Elephas maximus indicus: one gene and its partner. The protein of the gene in region 1 purifies or fractionates together with the protein of each later gene. This does not show direct contact. Links are inferred from orthologs where the notes say so. Each region holds a gene or a part of one and is shown in the gene's direction. Other genes may lie near its edges.

The links. The genes of interacting proteins can lie anywhere in the genome.
Region 2: the proteins of CCNA1 (region 1) and SKP2 purify together in Homo sapiens (affinity purification with western blotting; 4 studies listed by BioGRID). This does not show direct contact. The link is inferred for Elephas maximus indicus from reciprocal best matches to the Homo sapiens genes CCNA1 and SKP2.

The regions. Positions count from the first base shown.
Region 1 is NC_064832.1:99,587,858-99,598,408, forward strand, and holds the start of CCNA1 (cyclin-A1), read left to right. Parts: upstream 1-6,479; 5' UTR 6,480-6,518; coding exon 6,519-6,620; intron 6,621-7,107; coding exon 7,108-7,293; intron 7,294-10,551. UniProt on the Homo sapiens protein: May be involved in the control of the cell cycle at the G1/S (start) and G2/M (mitosis) transitions. May primarily function in the control of the germline meiotic cell cycle and additionally in the control of mitotic cell cycle in some somatic cells.
Region 2 is NC_064820.1:41,307,374-41,317,709, forward strand, and holds the start of SKP2 (S-phase kinase-associated protein 2), read left to right. Parts: upstream 1-5,611; 5' UTR 5,612-5,901; coding exon 5,902-5,909; intron 5,910-6,597; coding exon 6,598-6,869; intron 6,870-10,336. UniProt on the Homo sapiens protein: Substrate recognition component of a SCF (SKP1-CUL1-F-box protein) E3 ubiquitin-protein ligase complex which mediates the ubiquitination and subsequent proteasomal degradation of target proteins involved in cell cycle progression, signal transduction and transcription.

The DNA.
Region 1 (10,551 bases):
AAGAGGTCTTTTGCAGCAGATTTACCCAATGCAATATGTGAAAATGTAACCCTACTCAATTATGGCAACAGTGGTAGGAGTTACTTGCATTCAACAACACCAAGCAGCAGAATTGTGAGCACACTGCGACGTAAATTTACATCTTACTTTCTGGAAAGCAAGTAAGCAGCTCACTGTATTCCTGTAATATTCAGCCCTACAGATAACATGTCCCTTGAAAGCAATGTGTCCCAAACAAGGGCTGACGTGGGTGCTGGTGAAGCACTGGCTGAGAGGTGAGGGTTTCACAAGCGCTACACTAGGTTGCTAACCAAAAGGTTGGTGTTTGAAACCCATCCTGAGGCTCCGTGGGAGAAAAGACCTGGCAACCTGCTCCTGTAAAGATTACAGCCTAGGAAACCCTGTGGGGCAGTTCTACTCCGTCACATGGGGTTGCTGTGAGTGGAGTCGACTCATAACAACGACACACAACAACAACGACGACGACAGCGTTTCATACTAGAGTTTGAATTTGATTGGTCATAGAATTCAACTTAAAACTTTAGTATTAACAGAAACGAAGCTTAAGCTGTACTTTATATGAACTATCATATAAACCCAGGATTCAGCAACTCTAACTAAAGAATTGTATCTATAAAATTAAGTGATAAAAGTTTAGTTAATTTCACAAGAATCTAACTTGATCTTTCAGCTGTTCTGATTCTTCCTCTGAACTCTTGTCTGACCCTGGAAAAGAATGAGCATTTCTATTTTTCAGAAAATTCTCATTGTTGTGAAATATATATTGTTGCTGTTATGTGCAGGTGAGTTAGTTCTGACTCATAGGCATCCTGTGTAACATATACACAGCAAAAAGGTCTCTGTCTGAACCACTTGTAATGTAGACTTCAGCGACATCAGTTACACTCACCATGTTGTGGCTCCTTCACCACTATCCATTTCAAAAAGCTCTACATCACCCCAGAAACTCAGCTCCCTTTTGTAATAACTCCCCGTTCCCTCCTCCCTGCAGCCCCTGGTAACCACTCATAAGTTTTGTTCATTTGTCTGCTGTAGGTGCTTCATGTAAGTGGGATCATACAGTGTTTGTCCTCTATGTCTGGCTTATTTCACTCAGCATCATGTTTTCAAGGTTCTTCCACGCTGTATTGTGGGTTAGAACTTCACTCCTCTTCATGGCTGAATGATACCCCATTGTGTATATATACCACACCTTGTTTACCCATTCATCTGTTGATGGACACCTCGGAGCATTTCTTTTTAACAAGGAAAGTACAATTCCCAGATAAACTTCCTTCTGGCTCATTTATAAACAGGTTTTCTTATGAATTGCATGGTGAACCCACCCTGGATAGACGGTTTCCTGTCATTATTTATTGGTGCACTTAATTGCGAGTTAGGAGAGCCACTCAGGAGGAAGCTAGTCATGATGAGCATACACACCTGCAGACGCGGCAGCAGAAGAGATGACCGTATGCTGTGACTGCTCTCCACCACCACTGTTCTACTGACCCTGCTGACTTTCACCTGGACACTGTACAGATCCTGGAAAACAGCAATGGTTAAAGGAACTCCCCCACCTTTGCGTTCAGAATGGCTCATTGCAAAGAGCCACCCTTCCCACGTGACTTAGCTAAGGCTCACAGACACCCTGTTCACCTAGGACAAGACTGGCCACAGCCTCTCCACATTCCTGGTTCTTGTCTCATAAATGAGTCACTGAGCTGCTTGACCTCAGCGGTCAATCAGAAACCAAGTGATTGTTCGTCAGACTTTGGTGAAGCTTCTCTCCTTCCTAAAGTCCCTGAACTTTGCCCTGCTCCTCAGCCTGCGCTAACACGCCACTCTGTGATACATGCTTATAATGTAGGGTTTCCACGTCACATGTGTGTGAAGCGCGGAACGTGTGACTGGAACACTTAAGCCAGGCTGTAAGCTACCTGAAACCGACATGCAACTTCTCCGTTGTGCACAACTTCCAGTTGTAATCGGCTACCTTACTATTGGCAGCTGCTTGGCCGTGAGCTGGTGTGGCCCTTAGTGTAGCTGCTGGCCTTGTAGAATGCGTACCCAGTTATGAGCTAAGATGGGGATTACCCTGACACAGTGTGAGCCAGCACCCCTGATAGGACCTTGGTTACACAAGATAGAGGGACTAAACCATAAAAACCTGTCTTGCTCTTCCCTGGGAGCTGGTCTAAGGCGGGAGGACTCTGTCAATCTCTGAACCTCTCTGAAGCTAGCACTCTGCCTGAGGCCCCGCCAGGGACGCTGCCTGCAGTTGCCACCCTCAGACCCCAGCCACGAAGGACCTGAGCTGCCTCCAGCAACTATCTGTTCAAGGTCAATGCGTGAAGGCTGAAGATATGGGCTTTCATTAGTGGGTTACGTTTACCCTACCCTGATTCTCCAGGCCTACAGGAATGTTTTGGGTCTTATTTGTGTGCTGTGATGTGACTACCCTGCAAAAAACTCAGGAGGTTCTGATGGCAAACCTGAGCATGGCACCTCTCTCTAAAGGGCCTCCTGGAGAATAGGCTGACCTTGGCCTAAACCTTTCTGATTTACTATTTGACAAAGTCACCTACTCACCCCACTTCTCCACACCTGGGCTTTTTCTAGCCTGATTTACCCTCAGTCTACACACACAAAAAAAACAACACTTTTTCCTAACTTGTGAGACCTTTACTGATCTTATATATTACAATAGGCTCCTCCCCCTACTGTAATAGCCCCTTTCCCTTTCTCCTTTTTTGGACTACAGCCTCTTTCTGATAACATCTGGATTTGGTTATTTGACAGGATCCTGTGCTCACCAATGAGATAGCCCTCAGCTACATGTGACTACATACATTTAATTAAAAATTCAGTGCTTCGATTGCACTACCTACATTTCTGTGTGAACCCTTCTCAACCAATGTCTGCGAAGCCTAGACAAGAAGCTTCCCCAGTTTCACCTTTACTAAACACTACGGATCTTAAGGCTTGACTTTCGGATACAGCCGATGTAGCTTCTTAGTGCTGCTTTAACAGCAATGCGACAAGTGGGTGGTTTAGCGAGCAGAAATGTATTTTCTCACAGTCCCGATTCAGGGAGTCAACCTAGGGGAATGCTCTCTGTCCGCTCTGGGGAAAACGCTCCTCTCAGCTTCTCGGGTTTCCTCTGGGCTTTCCTTGGCCATCTCCAGGTGGCGCTATTTTCTCCCTTCTGCACTGGTTTTCAAGTCGATTCCAACTCACAGTGACCCCAAGTGACAGAGTAGAACTGCTGCATAGGGTTTTCAAGGCTGCAATCTTTACGGGAGCAGACCACCACATCTTTCTCCTGCAGAGCAGCTGGTGGGTTCCAACTGCCGACCTTTTGGTTAGCAGCCGAGTGCTTTAACCACTGTGCAACCAGGGCTCCTAGCATGGAAAAGATTACAGCCTAGAAACCCCTATGGGGCAGTTCTACTCTGTCATATGGGGTCCATATGAGTCGAAACTGACTCAATGTCACCCCAAAACAACTGGATTAGGATGCAGCTATTGAAATGAGAGGGTATGAACTAACTAGAGGGTCCCACCTGGTTAGCAGGTATTTTACTTTTTTGAAGGCATTTTTCAGGCTAGAGGCTCTGGAGGACGACTTTGTGGCCTCCCCTTTCTGGTCCTGGCCATGGTTGGAGTGGGGAACACCCAGCTTCAAAAAGCTGCCTCCACAGAAGCCTGGTGCTCCCCTCTTGCTGGAGCTCTGACCCCCCAGAGCTCCCTCCACAGAAGCCTGGTGCCCCTCTCCCCCCAGCCGCTGGAGCTCCGGCCCCAGAAAATAGAATCCAAATGAGGCTCCCGGAACAAACACCGTGCTGGCTTCTTTGTTTAGAGGAAAGGCAAAAGTGGTGAGTTTTAGGCGATTTTTGTCCCAGGAAATCAGATCAAAAGGGATGTCACAGGTCAGGGCGCATGAAACAGAGCAAATCTTGTTTCTGGCAAGGTGACCCCGGTCTTTGGAACAAATTGCTCCCAGGACCCTAGGGAGTTAACTACCGAGGCCTCAGCATCCGTCCCCAGAAATCACAACAGTGTTGCCATGTGGGGGAGGGCTTCTGGGAAGATGTCCAAAAGCAGAGAGAGGTGACAGGACAGAAATATTCCCATTTTCCACCAGATAGAACCCCTTGCAAAGCCGAGCCTTCAGGTCCCCTCAGCATCCTAGTCGAAGGCACAAAAATTCAGAGGTGCAAAGGGTTACTGTTTCCTGCCAACGAGAGCCCATGGTAAGCAAACCCACAGACTCATAGTGACCTTATAGGACAGAGTAGAACTATTCTATAGGGTTTCTGAGGCTGTAGATTTTTATGGAAGCAAACTGCCTCATGTTTCTCCCACAGAGCGGCTGGTGGGTTTGAAACACTTAGCTTTTGGTTAGCAACCGAGCACTTAACCACTGCACCACCAGGGCTCAAAGGAGGAGCATACTGAATAATACATTCCCCCTCTTCCTCCAAGCAGAGGGGCTGGTGGGTTCCAACTGCCCACCTTATGGTTAGCAGCTGAGTGCTTTAACCACTGTGCCACCAGGGCTCCTTGGTAAGCATCCCAAACCCAAACCAAACCCATTGCCATCAAGTCGATTCCAGGTCATAGTGACCCTATAGGACAGGGTAGAACTGCCCCACAGAGTTTCCAAGGAGTGCCTGGTGCCTTCAAGCAGCTGACCTTTTGGTTAGCAGCTGAGCTCTTAACCACTGTGCCACCGGGCTCCTTGGTAAGCACAGCAAGATTAATTTCACATTCAACAAGGCCATTTTCGGTGCTTCCTGAGATGCTTTCCAACTTCCCCTCACATCTGACTCACCCACATGGGTTTCATCCACTCTTTCTGTAGAATACTTGTATTTTCCCGTTAAAACAATGCACACCCAGCTCACTGAGGGAAAAAAAGGGCACTTAGATATGTTTTGGGGTGAGATTAACAATCATTTCCTTTCAAAATAAGGAAGACTGCAATAACCAACAGGTCCTTGACCATTTGGATGGCTCTTGGGAAAGCTTTAGAGATTTAGGAACTGGTGTTTTGTATATTTAAAAGCCTTGGTGGTGCAGTGGTTAAAAGCTCAGGCTGCTAACCAAAAGGTTAGCAGTTCAAATCCACCAGCCTCTCCTCGGAAACCCTAGGATGCAGTTCTACTCTGTTCTGTACGGTCACTATGAGTTGGAAAAGACTTGATGGCAACGGGTTTGGTTTGGTTTGGTGGCACAGTGGTTAAGTGCTCTGCTGCTAACCTAGAGGTCGTGGGTTCAAACCCACCAGCCACTCCAAGGAAGAAAGATGCAGCAATCTGCTTCTGTAAAGATTACAACTTTGGAAACCCAATAAGGGAATTCTTCTGACCTATGGGGTCAGTACGAATTGGAAACCACTGAATGGCAACAAGTTTGTTTTTTTTTTTTTTTTCCTTCCAGGTTTTGCATTTTAACAACAAAACACTCTTGCTCTTAAAACCTGAGTAACAGATAAACATCGCGGCCTAAGAAACCCTGTGGAGCAGTTCTACTGTATCACATCGGGTTGCTATGAGTTGGAATCAACTCCACCGCAAACATGGAGTTTGCCATGATTTTTTTTTAAAATAAGAAAGTTACAGACTTTTTTACTTGACCTGTCAGTCACCGCCTCTGGTGCCCAGGATTCACTGACCTTGTCCTCCCTTCCCAATTGGCCAACGCCCGTCCCCACCCCATCCTGACCCCATCCTTCCCTCCTGGCCAGTGACCTCCAGGTCCAGGGACTGTCCTCCCTCGTGGCCAGGCCACTGCCCAGCCCCCAGTCCCGGACCTCCCAGTGTCCCCTCAACGTCCCAGGCCTCTTATTGCTCCCGTGATCCTTCCTCTTCCCGGGTCGCTCTCTGGGTGTCCCCGCACCGCTGTCCTCCTGGGAAGCCCTCTCAGGGGCCTCGGGCCCTGCGTGCGCTCCCAATCCCACAGCTCCGCCGTCCGCCGGGCCCCATGCTCCGGGCTCGGGGCTTGCCTCTGGGGCGCAGACCCCCCCGATGCCCGCAGGTGCCTCCGCGGACTCGGGCCGGCCACTCCGGAGGACGCGCAGGTGTGTGAGCGGAGCGAGCCAGCGCGCACCCCGACTCTCGGGCCGGCCGTGGGGTTCTCGGGGGCGGGCCGCGCACAGACGTTAGCGGGGGGTTAGCGGCTGTTAGGGGAACCGGCTCTCGGAAGCGGTCCCTTCGGCCCGGTGGTCGCGGGGGGCAGCCTGCCTCCCTCCCCGGCCAGGGCGCCGGCTAGGAGGGAAGCGGGGCGACGCAGGAGGCCGGGGGCCGCTGGGTCCTGACTGCCCCGCAGCGGCAGGGCCTCCGGGAGGCGCCAGGTGAGAGGGTCGCCAGGTGAGGGGTCGCCATGGCGACGCGGCCCGGGCGCGTGCCGCTGCGGTTGGCATGGAAGCGGCCGCGCAAGGCCCGGGACGCCGCCCATTGGCCGCCCCAACAGACGCGAGGCTGGGCGCCCAGTGCCCGCCGGGTGCCGGGTCGATGACCCCCTGGGCGCCCGCCGCCTCCGCCCGGCCTCGGTGCGCTCGGCAGGTGTGCGAGAGAGCCAGCGCCGAGCGGAGCGGGCCCCTGGGTTCCAAGCAGGTGCGGGGCCTCTGTGTGCTGGGAGGGGCCGCGGGAGGAGACAACACCTTCCCGCTCAGGTGTCCTGGGTCTTTTGTCTGGGGCGGGGGAGAAGAGCATCCGAGCGGGGACAGACCGTGGGCTTGTAGGTTTAGACCCCCAATCCGTTGGAGCCTAGCATCCTGGCTTGAAGGTTTGTCGCTCTCCTTCCAGTCCTCAACGGAGACTGGCAAGAAAACCACAGAATTGAAGTCATCGTTTTGGTCCCTTGCGCAGTCACTCGCTCCTTTTCAGCCCTAATATTGTCGGGTGCCGTCGAGTGGATTCCACCTCATAGCGACCCTATAGGGCAGAGCAGAAGTGCCTCAAGGGTTTTCTAGGCTGTGATCTTTAGGGGAACAGATTACAATATAGTGTCTGGGAAAACCGTGTTCTGGTGCAGCACCCGGGGAGCCCAGGGCGGAGGGCTTGGCTAACCTGCTTGTCTGTCCCTCGCTCCCCATCGCAGCAGCAGGTGGAGACCGAGGCCATGCGGCGAAGCAGCTCTAAGAGCGGCGTTGTCCTGGCCCCTGCGGCTGGGGTCCATGATGCCTGTCAGATGATCGGCAGAGCCCAGCTGGGCCAGGAACCCCCCCAGAGGACCGTGCTGGGGGTGCTTACCGAGAATGGGCAGTACAGGAGGGCCTGCGGCCAGGTAAGGAGGACTCGGAGGCCCGGAGCGCCACTTGTTGGGGTCTCCTCTCCTACTATGTAGGGGGAGCTTTACGGTTGCCGTTTTACCCACAAACTGCCCTTGAGGGTTCCAACACTGGAACCTGGATTTTTTAAGAGCATCTTGATAGATCCCCTTTTCCGATAGAAATTGAATAATTTTCGTTGTTATTTTTCCCAATATCAAGAAAATAAATTCAGAAACTGTTTGGATTAAGTATATGTAAACTTATTTGGGTGCTAGGCTAAAAGTAGGAGCTTGGTGGTGCAATGGTTAAGAGCTCTGCTGCTAAAGGATAGGTCGGAGGTTAGAACCCACCCATCAGCTATGTGGGAGAAAGACCTGGCCATCTGGTGGTCTGCTCTGGTAAAGATTACCACCTGGAGAATCCTATGGGGCAGTTCCATACTGTCCTATAGGGTCGTTACGGATCAAAATTGACTCAATGGCACCCAACAACAGGCTAAAAGGAAACACAAATGCCCCATGTTGTTGTTGGGTGTCATCAAGTGGATTTCGACTCATAGTGACCCATGTGACAGGGCAGAACTTCCCCATAGGGTTCTCTAGGCTGTAATCTTTATAGGAGCGGATCATCAGGTGCTTCTCCCAAGGAGCCACTGGGTAGATTTGAACCACCAACCTTTAGGGATAGCAGCTTAGCTTAACAGTTGAGTTTAACCAAGGTCTGAGTGGTAGTCAGACTGATGTAAGAAAGGCTTGAGTGATCCCAGACAGCCTTTGTTATGTTTACCCGGATAGTGTTAGAGTCAGACAGCCCTTCAAACTGTCTCATTCTGGTTCGAACTCCTGCTGAGAATTTGCATTTTCACCCCAGATATACTGAATCACAATCTCCATTTTAACTAGGTCCCCAGGCGATTCTTACGTATAACTTCCTGGAAACTTGTTAGAAGCTCTGGAATCAGGATGGAATCCGGCTTGACTAGATCAATTCAGAAAGGGTGCTTGGAAAGCAGGCATCTCCCCAACACTGGGCAGACAGGTACTGGGCCCTCTGAGAGAAGCTGTATGTGCTCAGTTGGTCAGAGGTGCTTCCCTTAACCGACTGAAGACAGATTCAGACGCTTAAACGCAAATGTGGAGTTTGGATCCTTAGGAAGGATTTTGAGATGGAAAGCTTTCCCAAGCTTGCTATGAGATGCACCCTTTCATGGTGATGCCTTAAACCTGCATTGCCTGTCTTTAAAGGACCGAGGCTCAAAATGGGCCAGTGAAGTAAGTGCGGCAGGGTACCCGTGTTTTGTTTTGTTTGTTGTTAGTTGCTGTTCAGTCAGCTCTGACTCACAGTGACCTGATGTATAACATCAAAGTGTCTCCCAGTCCTGCGCCACCTTCATGATCATTGTTGCTATGTTTGAATTCATTGTTTTGGCCATTGTGTCAATCCCATTTTATAGATGAGAAAACTTGAGAGGTTTAAGAAAGGCCAAAACAAACAAAAAGAAGTTTTGGCAGAGGCTAGTCTGAAGTCTGCCTACTGACTCGCGCAGCCGCCTGCTTTCTGGGGGTATTTGGGGGGAGAGAGGAGAGGGTATAGCCAGAGTGACCTGGTCAAAACTTTTGGAGAAAACGAAAGTGGCTGTAACAGTTTATGTAGCAAGATTGACTGCTTTAAACTCAGGAGTCGGCAGCGATTCCTGTGCTGACTGGTATCACATTAAATTCATAACCCTTCACGGTTTTTTTTAACCCCTTATGAATGCGCTCAAGCATAACAACAATTGTAAGGATGGCGCGGGACCGGGCAGTGTTTCGTTCTGTTGTGCATAGGGTCGCTATGAGTCGGAACCGACTTGATGGCACCTAACAACAACAACCCCTTATGTGTACTCCATTCCTCCACAGCTTTCTTAGAAATTTATTTAGATTTCTTAGAAATTTATACCTTCTGTCTTTTTTAAAAATAATTTTTTTTGTTGTTGAAAATATACAAAGCAGAAGATACACCAACAGTTTCCACATGTATAATTCAGTGACCTCGATTGCATTCTTCAGGTTGTGCGATCATTCTCACCCCCCTTTCCCTAATTGCTCCTCCCCCATTAACATAAACTCACTGCCCCCTAAGCTTCCTGTCTAATCCTTTGAGTTGCTCTTGTCAATTTCATCCCATGTTCAAACAAACCCGTTGCCGTGAGTCGGTTCCGACTCATAGTGACCTGTAGGACGCAGGAGAGCTGCACCGTCTTTATGGGAGCAGATCGCCAGGTCTTTCTCCCATGGCGCCACTAGGTGGGTGAATAGTCAAGCGCTGAACTGTTGAACCATCAGGGCTCCTCCTTAGTCTCCCAGTTCCTCCTTATTTCCCCAGTCTCTAAAGGCTAGGGTGCCTCAGGGCCATGTCTTTGGCCCCCTGAATTTGAATTCACTCCCTAATGATCTCTTGAAGTCTTCTGGGTTAGACGCCATTTGGTGGGTGTGGGAAGGCCGTGGTGGCTCAGGGGTACAGCCTCCCACGAGGGAGACCCGGGTTCTGTTCCCGGCCAGTGCACTTCAAGTGGAGCCACACCCGTCTGTCAGCAGAGGCTTGTGTGTTGCTCTGATGCTGAACAGGCTTCCGTGGGCCTTCCAGACTAAGAGAGTAGGAAGAAAGGCCTGGAGATCTACTTCTGAAAAGCAGCCAGTGAAAACCCATGGACCACAAGGGTCCGGTCCTGTTGTGCATGGGGTCGCCATGAGTTGGAGCTCAGGGGTAGAATTCTCACCTTCTGTGCAGGAGACCCAGGTTCAGTTCTCAGCCAGTGTACCTCATGCACAGCCACCATCTGTCCTTGGAGACTTGAGTGTTGCTATGATGCCGAACAGTTTTCAGCAGAGCTCCCAGATTAAGAGAGTAGGAAGAAAGGCCTCGTGATCTACTTCCAGAAATCAGTCAGTGAAAACCCTGTGGATCACAACGGTCTGATCAGGGGTAGCACAGGACCAGGCTGCGTTGCTACCTGACGGCAGCTAACAACACCTGTGGACGACTGTCAGAGTTTGATCTCCAGCCCAGACCTCTTAGCTGTATCGCAGACTCACATACTCAGCGGGCTACTTGATATTTCCACATGGTTCATGGAACAGATGTCTCAAATCTGTGCAAAACAAACTACCCATCTCTTCCCTACCCCCAACCTGCTCTTCCCAAAGTCTTCCTCATCTCAGTAAACGGAGTATTCATCCTTCCTGTTGTTCAGCCCCAAAGCCTTGGTCATCCCTAACTCTTCTTTCTCT
Region 2 (10,336 bases), on another chromosome or scaffold:
GATTTTACTCAAAATCAAAATGCTAATTCATTCATCCATTCAAAATTTGTGCCTGCTTTGATGTCATATTCAACCTTTCAATATACTAGCTCTGAAATAGTCTTAAACATTAAAAATCTAATTCAGTCTTTTTCTAATCAAGACATTATTCAACACTACTTTCAGGTGTCTTTACAATAGTTTCATAATTGAATTACTAATGTTACTAACTTAGAATACTGTTTCCTGAGTCCTTTATGACTCTAGCATTGTTTCTTTAGGCTAAACACACTCTGAGTGGAAAATTTAGAAGTTAAGATAATTTTGAAATTTGAAGCATTCCAAATATTTACAAAAAAAGGAGAAAAAGCGAGAGAAAGGAAGGAATGGGAGGAAAGGAAGGAGGAATGCAATGGATCAGAACATAAACAAAAAACTGACAAAAATTTTGCCAAAACTAAAGATTCTGAAACTGAATGAAAAATTTCAACTAGAACCTAATGATTCATCAGACTCGGAGAGTGTCAACTGCAATATGTACCTTTACTCAGATATATAAAATAATAAAAATGAGGAGATAACTCAAGATCATAATAATGAAAAATCAAAAGAATCAGAACTAGAAGTGAGAAAAGTCAACAATTGTCTCCCACCAATAAAAATTTAAATTTTCTCAAGGAAATCATCATTCCCTGCTGAAAGATTTCACGTGTAGATAGAATTTACTTTAGAATGTAGAATATTATAAGAGAACATCACTCTCAGTCTAAAAATGGGAGAAAGTAATATGTTTCGAAGCCCATCTAAAGGCTGAGGTGGCAAAACAACTAGTCGAACCGAATTCCAAAGTGTGACAAGTGTTTAGGAGAAGGACACACACAAACTGTTCTGTCTTTGGCAAGGCATGAAGGGAAGGGGTTGCAACCATGTACAGAGGTCAGAAGAAAGCAAGTAAAATTTTAATGAATTCTTAAAGATCTCAGGTAGATAATGCAAGACTTGTTTTGGTAATTAGAAAATAATCCTTACACTTTCTCTTAATAACAAAATAATTTTAAAAAAGAATAGCTAACATTTAGTGTGCACTTACTAAATATTGTGCTCCTACTTAACAAGCTTTATCATACTAAAGAGAAGACTGTTAGTATTCTTGTTTAATAAAGGAGAAAATTGGGCACAAACAGGATAAGGAATTTATCCAAGTTCCCACCAAAACCAAACCCAAACCCACTGCCGTCGAGTTGATTCCGACCCATAGTGACCCTATAGGACAGAGTAGAACTGCCCCACAGAGTTTCCAAGGAGCGCCTGGCAGATTTGAACTGCTGACCTCTTGGTTAGCAGCTGTAGCACTTAACCACTGCACCACCAGGGTTTCCCCAAGTTCCCACAAAAAAAAAAAAAAAAATTTTTTTTTTTTTTTTTTTAAAATGGCAAAGCTGGGATTCAAACTGAGGCATCCTAACTAGAGTCTGGCTCACAGTTAGAAAGCTACATCTTCTCTTCTCCAGTCCAGACATAGTTTCTTAATGCAATTTAAATTGTTTAAATAAATTTCTTCTGTTCAGTCTCCATAGTGAACAATCAGAAATTCCCCTATTGATCATCCCTATCAAGACATAGTTCACAGTATAAGAAGAAAATGTTCAATGTAGAACTTAGCTAAGCCTCTTTACCTCAGAGTAATACTGCCATTAGTTGACTTAAGGGTAATATGTGATTCTAATCTGTATGGGAAAAGTAGAAAAGAAAACATAGAGCAAATTAGAATCAGGGCCAGAACCTTTCCACCATCTGCCCATCACTGACAGCATTTAACTGCAGAGAACAAAAGATTTACTGTAGAATTAATCAAGGAAAAAAGATCCTTTCTCAAATTTTATTAGCAGATACAAACTTCTTGCCACATAATTGTTCTCAGGCTCTTGTTCCCGAGCTAAATGATGTGAGAAAAAAAACTCAAGAATTTTACAATTTATTTCATACTATGAAGGAACTAGGAGCCCTGGTGACGCAGTGGCTAAAGCACTTGGCTGCTAACCAAAGGGTCGGTGGCTCGAACCCACCAGCCGCTCTGCAGGAGAAAGATGGGGCAGTCTGCTTCTGTAAAGATTTACAGCCTTGGAAATCTTATGGGGCAGTTCTACTGTGTCTTATAGGATCTCTATCAGTTGGAATCGACTTGACAGCAGTGGGTTTGGTGGGTGTGAAGGAGCTAAGGAAAAAATTCATCACCATTCTCATTAAATAGAATCTCTTTTGTCATATTTGGTTTTCGAAAATAACATATACTTATATATGTACACACACACACCTATGACTATATTTATGACTATAAGCCACCACTCATCTGTCGGTTCGTAGCACTGTGGTGGCTTACGTGTTGCTGTGATGCTGGAAGCTATGCCAGTGGTATTTCAAATACCACCAGAGGGTTCTCAAAAAAGAGGAAGACCCTCAGTGAGATGTCTTGACAGAGGCTGCAAAAATAGGCTCAAGCAGAGCAACAATTGAGAAGATGTTGCAGGCCTGGGCAGTATTTCGTTCTGTTGTACATAGCATCACTATGAGTCAGAACCGACTCATGGCACCTAACAACAATGCTTATAAGATATATATACATATATATGTGTATACATACACACACATGTAATAAATAGCTTATAATCATTTATGATTTCCAGTCCTTTTTGGTCCCTCCTATAATTTTACCTCTAAACAGATAATACCACCCTTGCCCATTCTGAGCATCTCTCGGTGATAAACACTTCCCCAGTTTACACAGTCACTTTGGAGTCTATCTGAAGCTTCCAAAGGGTACTAGAAATGACGGGCCCTAAGTCATTTGCAGACGTTAAAAGAGACTGTAATTCATTTGTCCTGGATACTAACATAGGGAAGGGATTTTAGTTCTGGAAATATGGTGTACCCCAAAGTGGGAAATGGGATGTGCTAAGGTTAAACTAACAAAATTAATCAGGAAAATAAAATATTCCACATCAGTAGCAATCACAGTGCAATTAAGAGAACAAATAACAAGACGTCTGTACGTAGCCAGTAACTGCAAGTCTTCAATGGACACAATTCCTTATATCAAACAGTATCACATGTATCTATTTAAACTTTTATTTACAGCCATGAATGGAAGGAATGAGAAAAAAAGTTCCATATTAGCAAGCTGAAGTATTTCTCTTACCAGGGCAAACACTGTTAGTGAAATATCTACTCCAGTAGCAGAGGACTTGGACCTTCAGCTGAAGACTTGCAATTACTAGCTACCTACCAATTAATGGACCTTATGTCCATTAATTCAGATACTGCCAGTATTCTAAGAACTAGAAATGCTCCCTAAACAGCAGACAGAACAAGAATATTTCTTATCCTTAAATTTAGTATCTTCCCATCTACTAGACCTTCTTATCTATGAGATTTGTATCTAAAGTGGCCTATTCCAATTACTTTATATCTCAAAACTTTGTTACGCTTGCTATGGATTGTGTCCCCCCAAAATACGTGGTGGAATCCTAACCCCTGTACCTGTAGATGTAATGTAATGTACTGCAATCACCTTTGTATGCAATCTAATGTTATGTTACTGAGCCATACCCATTACCAGAGTTATAAAAAATGGTAGATAAAGACATGCAAAAACAAACGGGAAGAGAGGTGCCATGTGAAGATTGTCAAGGGACCAAGGAACAGGTAGGGCTACAGAAACTGAAAAAGACAAGGATCTTCCCCTACAGCTGACAAAGAGAGAGCCTTCCGTTATAGCTGGTGCCTGAATTCAGATTTCTAGACTCCTAAATTGTGAGAAAATAAATTTCTGTTCTTTAAAGCCATGCACTTGCGGTTCTTCTGTTACAGCAGCCCTAGTAACTAAGACAGTGCTCACCACGGCATTTTAAATATTTTTTTATCCTTTCTCCCCACAAGGTTACCAGTTCCCTCTGTCTTGTTCACTTTCCTGGAGACTATAACTTTTTTTGTTAGAAATATTTTCTGTAATGAGTTGCAAGCTTAAGGGAAAGTATGTATATCTCAAATGAAGGCAACTGCTTTCTCCTTAGCCAAAGTAAAGATAGGTAACTACCGTGCAAAAAACCAGGAATACTGCATTTAAAAAAATTATCATCTAACAGTAGTTTAATGAACTGTGCACACTAAGCCTAGTATTCTTCACCTAGTGTTGATCAAAATCAATTTGTGAACAGATCCCCTCTTAATAGAAATCTCACCTACTTTCGAGAACAAAATAAAGGTTCATGAATTCCTTCCTGTCAAGAAGTGGTTACTTTTCAAGAATCTAATCATTTTTTTCAAAGTAGTATGAAGGTATGTCATACAGCATAAAACCACTGTCATCGAGTGGATTCTGACTCTTCAAAGCTATAGGTCAGAGTAAAACTGCCCCATAGGGCTTCCAAGGCTGTAATCTTTATGGGAACAGACAGCCACTCTTTCTCCCCACTGAACTAATTCTTTGGGGATGAAACTGCCCTGCATAATTCTAAACTTTATAAAAAAACTTTATAAACCCTCATTATTTTTATTACGGTTGGAATTCATCCCTCTTCTCTCTTCCACTGTTTTCCCGGGGCCATCGTTGTAGTAGTTTGCAATGCACAATGGATTTCGCACGGTCATCCTACCTGGAATATGGTACACTCCCTACTCTAACGCCCCCAAACTGTTTCCCGCAGAGATAGGCTAAAGCAGTTCTAGGTGGCGACGCAAATGGATGCAGCCGGTTGGCCGAGAGCAACCGAATGGCTTTGCTGGTGGCTCAGAGCTTAGCCCTGGTAAAGCCCTTTGCAGATACACAACCCACCCAGTGCCGTCGAGTACAGTAACCATATTTATTCCCATACTAGCATTTAGGAGATTTGTCAAGGCTGCAAGGGGATGCGCACCCTTCCCACCGCACACAGGAACCAAGGTGGTCTCTTGTTCCCCTAAAATTCAACCATCCTCTCTCATTCCAACTGCGCTGTAGTTTAGAAAACGCTTCCACAACCGTTATCTGATTCGATCCTCATTCAACGCCTGTAACAAGAGCGTTGTTGTCGTAGTGCCTATTTCACAGGTAAGGAAAGGATCCTGCCCACAGACCCAGTCTAATTCTGAAATCATTTCCTGAAGGGCCCAAGGGCCGCCTCTCCCCGGTGCAGGAAGAGCTTCCTGGCAGAGGGCAGAGCAGGTGTGACGCCCACCTGGGTGACGGGCCGGGCTACTGGCTCCATGCAGTGGCCGGGGACGCAGGCCCCGCGGCGGCAGCCGTTCGGGATCTCCGGGGTTCCCTCCGTGTCCTCCTCTGCTCCGCCCCGGACCTCAGACCCCAGACCCCAAAGTGTCTCATCCCCTCCCTCAAGCTCACCGTCTGATCTCACCAGACAGAATCTGGACGGGACCAAGAAACTCCGCGTCGACCACAGCCGTCCAGGTTCTGGGACCCCCGCTCTGAAATGACGGCGGAAGCAGTCAGCAGAAGGCCTGCAGGTTCCCGGGAAAGGAAAACCCTTTCTCACTCAAGCAGCTGACATTCCCAGTCAGCCGGAGCACCGCCCACTTCCGCTTCCCTGCCCGCCCCTGTGGGCCGCGGGGGGTTGTGGGTATCTCAAAGGCCTGCGAAGCTTCAAGGGAAGGATTCAGGAAGTAGAGGGCGAGCCAGCCTGACTCCTGGACAGCATAGGAACTACAATTCCCAGCAGGCAGCTGGGCCTCAGACCTCTGCCGCAGAGGAGAGCGGGCAGAAGAGCCCTGTGCGCGCGGCGGGGATGGAACGTTACTAGAGTTCGCGGGTCTCACTGTTGGGGGCCAGCGCTGAGCGCTCGGAGCTGCCGCGCGCCAAAGCCGGAATCCCGAAGCAGCAGCTCCGCAATTAATGCACGTATTTAAAACTCCTGTGAATCGGTGGACGCCATGCACAGGTAAACCGATTGCAAAAAGGGGCAGAGCGTGCATGGACCGTCTTAATTCTTTTAGGCCGTGAATACTGCTACTTGCTGTTGTTGTTACTAATGCTGTGATTATGCGAATGGTTGCTTAGCCCATTCTTTGGGAAAGTGTGGATAAATGTTTTAGTGAGGTGATTAGCGAGACGTTTTATTTGGCTTCCCTTATAGGGCTTTCCTGCAGGGTTTTCAAAATCACTGGATGGCTGCCCTCCCTCCCTCCTTGTTCCCTCCACCGTAAGAAATTCTTGAGGCCTGCCTGCGTGATCGTAAATCAAAAGCCTTTCCCATTTGTTCGGTTATTTTTTTTTCTTGGGATTTCGCCACTGGCACTTACAAATGCAATTTTATTAACTGCTGCGGAAGTTTCAAGTTTTCTACAGCGCATAAACTGCAGCTTCTTTTGTGCCTACCTTGGAGCCCTCGTGGCTCAAATGGTTAAGCGCTCGGCTGCTAACCAAAAGGTCTGCATTTCGAACCCACCAGCCGCTTCGAAAGAGAAAGATGTGGAAGTCTGCTTCCCTGAAGATTACAGCCTTGGAAACTCAGTGGGGCAGTTCTACTCTGCCCTATAGGGTGACTATGAATCGAAAGGCTGGACGGGGGATGGGTTTGGTTTTGGCTTTATTCTTGAAAAGAAAGGGAGTGTTGTGCATTTCTGCAGGAAACACCTCCAGGAGATTCCGGACCAAAGTAGCAACGTTACCACCAGTTTCACGTGGGGATGGGATTCTAGCAAGACTTCAGAACTGCTCTCAGGCATGGGAGTCTCTGCCCTGGAGAAGGAGGAGGTGGACAGTGAAAATATCCCCCAGGAACTGCTCTCCAGCCTTAGTCACCCGCAGAGCCCCCCGCGAAAGCGGCTGAAAAGCAAGGGGAATGACAAGGACTTTGTGATTGTTCGCAGACCCAAGCTAAATCGAGAGAACTTTCCAGGTAAGGTATGCAGGTAAAACTGGCAGTCACATAAGGGGGTGGATGGTTTGCACTGTTTTGTCCATCAGCCTTTGTTCAGGGATCTTTAGGATGGTTTCCTATGTTAAGTTGCCTAATTCTTAAATTGGATTGAAACAGTGGCTGCAACAATGGGTTCAAACACAGCAACTATTTTGAGGCTGGCTCAGGAGCCAGCAGTGTTTCATTCTGTTGTACATAGGGTCACTATGAGTCAGAACTAACTCTACAGCACCTAACAACAGCTCTGAAGTTATTTTTTGAAGGAATAGAGGAAGTAATTGTCTTTGAAGTCTATAGGAATCTTTCTGGGTATCTGGTGTATAATTGACTTGAAAATCTTAACCCGAGACAATACCTTTCTGCTCTTTTCTGTAGAAGGGAATCTGCCTGAAGAAAGGCATGAAGTAGCCAGCCAGCTTAGTTTCACAGATAAATGGCAGCATAAACAGTAGTCTTCTTCCAGGATTCCTTTTTCTTAAAGCCCTGGGTGAGCTTTTTGCACTAATCACTTTAGGTATTTTGTCAATAAGTTGCTAAAGTATTTGTGTATTAAACTAAGTGGAAGAGACTTATCTCTCAGGCCTACTTCCAGATGGGCTTCTCCTGGTAGCTTCTGTCTCAGTTGCTGCCTGCTCAATCACCCAAACCAAAAACCTAAGGGTCAGCATAGATTCCTACCATCCCCCAATATCCAATCAATCGTTACATCTTCCATTCTTGTCTCCTAAGTATTTCTCAAATTCTCATCATCTCTTGCCTATTGGAATACATGCATAACTCCAGCTTATCCTCCCCAGATCCATCCCCTGAAGCCAGAGTGACTTAACTGAAATTATTTATTTATTTTTCCAAATTTAATGTCACTGGTATTTTTAGTGTCTGAAATGGAGCACTAGCCATTTGGTGCTTGACCAACCAAATGTGAAAGACACTTCCTTTTAAGATGAACAGATTTTGGCTGAATTGCCAAGAACTGATAGCTCTTGACGTAGTGTTATTGGTGCCTGTCCTTCCGCATTCCTACACAGACAGGCATAAATAAAAATGACATTTCTTAAGCAAGGCTCTGTGGGAAACAAGTCAGAAGTTTAAGAGGTGATTGCTGTCTTCTGGGAATTTGCAAGTCAAGTTGAGGAGAAAAGACGATAAGAAATAACAAGTTTACAGTAATACATGGTGGATAATACACTAGCAGCAGACAAGTAGCGTAGGTAGTGAGCACTGTAGGAGGCCAGAGGGAGGAGCTTATTTGTGCCAAAGTGACTTGAAGCTTCCCAGAGGCAGAAGGGCTTCAATGGTAATGCCCATTCAGGTGGATGATCCTCCTTCTTCCTCGCAGCAAGAGTGGTTTGTTGAAGTGTCCTCAATAAATCATATCTTTTTAGTATAGGTAACGCGTCTTACTGGGCATATTTATTTCTCACATCACTTCACTTAGAAAACAGAGATTATTTTATCTCTGTCTGTGTGTGAATGTGGAAGGAGAGACACCAGTCATACTCCATGTCGAGAGTCATTGGTACTGGCCAAGTTCATCAAAATCACTACTCTTGGAAGGGAGAGAAAGATCTGGAAATGGTCCAGTAAATGAGGCTAAATTGTTAAACCTGACTTTAAAAACATGTCTGAGGTGAGAGAGAAAAAAAATGAACCTTTATGTTTGTTACTACTTGAGAGAGACCAAGAGAGACACTAATAACACATGTTTGTGCATGTATGGAATTACACACAATGTGGATTGGTTAATTGGTGTGTATGTGGGTAGATTCAGTGATGTAGGACGAGGGACAGCTGCTGTAGAGGATTCCCAGTGGGCCTCTGGAACCTGGGCAGTGCCTCCAGTGTGGTTGGATCATCATTCCAGGAATTTGTTTGCAGTTGTCAGGACAGGTGGCTAATAGCTCTGCCAGGATTGGGGTAGAACAGGCCACACCTGCTTCATGTAGATATCTGATGACAGAGGCCCTGGGCTGTGTAGTTTTTTCTTGGTTCTGTGTTCAGCCTAGGGCTTCCAATCTGTTCTGGTTGGAACGCCTGCTGAGAACTTGCATTTCCAGCAAGTTCCTGGGCAATGCTAATGCTGCTGGTTAGGGGCCAGTTCTGAGAACCACTAGTAAAGCAAAAACAAAACAAAACAAAAACCAAACCTGTTGCTGTCAAGTGGATTCTAATTCACAGCGACTCTATAGGACGGAGTAGAACTGCCCTATACAGTTTCCAAGGAATGCCTGGTGGATTTGAACCGCAACCCTTCCTTCAGTAGCCATAGCACTTAACCACTACACCACCAGGGTTTCCACTAGTAACGTGGTGGTTCTCAAAATTTATTATACACAAGAATCTCCTGGAGATCTTGTTAAAATGTAGATTCAGATTCAGTATATCTGGGGTGAAAGTGCAAACTCTTAGCAGGGGATTCAGAGAACCAGGACAAACCGGTTCGAAGTCCTGGTTCAACCTCCTGTCCCTCCAGGCCCCAATCCAGGTTCACATCTGGTGACTAAATCCTCTTCATCTATTTACACTGGAAGATAAAAGCTGTGTGGCCAACCTGTGCCAGGACAGGTCTGATTGGCCCTTGGGGGTGAATGCGTAGTAGGAATTGGGGAGGAAGTGGCCCAGCAGTGAGGTCAGTAATTGGTGGTCGTTAATGCCTGGCCCCACCCTTTAAACAGATAATGGTTGTGATAAAGCTGTTGAACTAACTTGTTAATCATCTCTCCTCTGGCTGTTAAACTTCTTGTAATTCCAAACCTTACAGTGTTTCTCAGGCTTTTTAAACTCTTAAGTTTAGACCTTATCAGAATCCCCAAGGGAACTGGTTCAAAGTGCAAAATTCCTGAAATTCTGATCCAAAAAAGCCTGGCTCGAGCCTGGGAATCTGCATTTTAATACTCTAGGTCAACTTTTTTCCAATTCTTTTTTTTTTTAATTGCTGGTAAGAAATAGACTTTATATTACAATCCTGGATGTGTATCTGAAACAAAAGTTTTATAAAACTATTTCCCCCCACTAAGAGACACTTTGAGATTTTCTATTTTGTTCTCTTCCTTTAAGGGAAAAAAAAAAAGTTTGTCAAACTCACTGAATTGATTTCGTGACTGACCAGTAAGTCTCAGCCAGCAGTTTCCAAAACTAAACTCTGTACAGAGCGTTTATGGGACCTTCCCCACGAATCTTTCTTTTCCCCCTCCCCTAGAGCTTTCATTCATTCATTCAACAAATATTTATTGAGCACCATTCTAAGGATTGGGAGTACGGCAGTGAACATAACAAGCCAGAGACCCTGTCATCATAGAGGTTATATACCTTGTTCTCCAATCCCAATCTTCATTGTTCCTGTGTTGCTCCTCCCATACCCCTGGTTCAGCAGGTCTCTTGTAGAAATACAGGGTTGTGGGGTTAAGAGGTTCATTGAGGGCCCCTGTTTTTCTTTTACTGTGTTT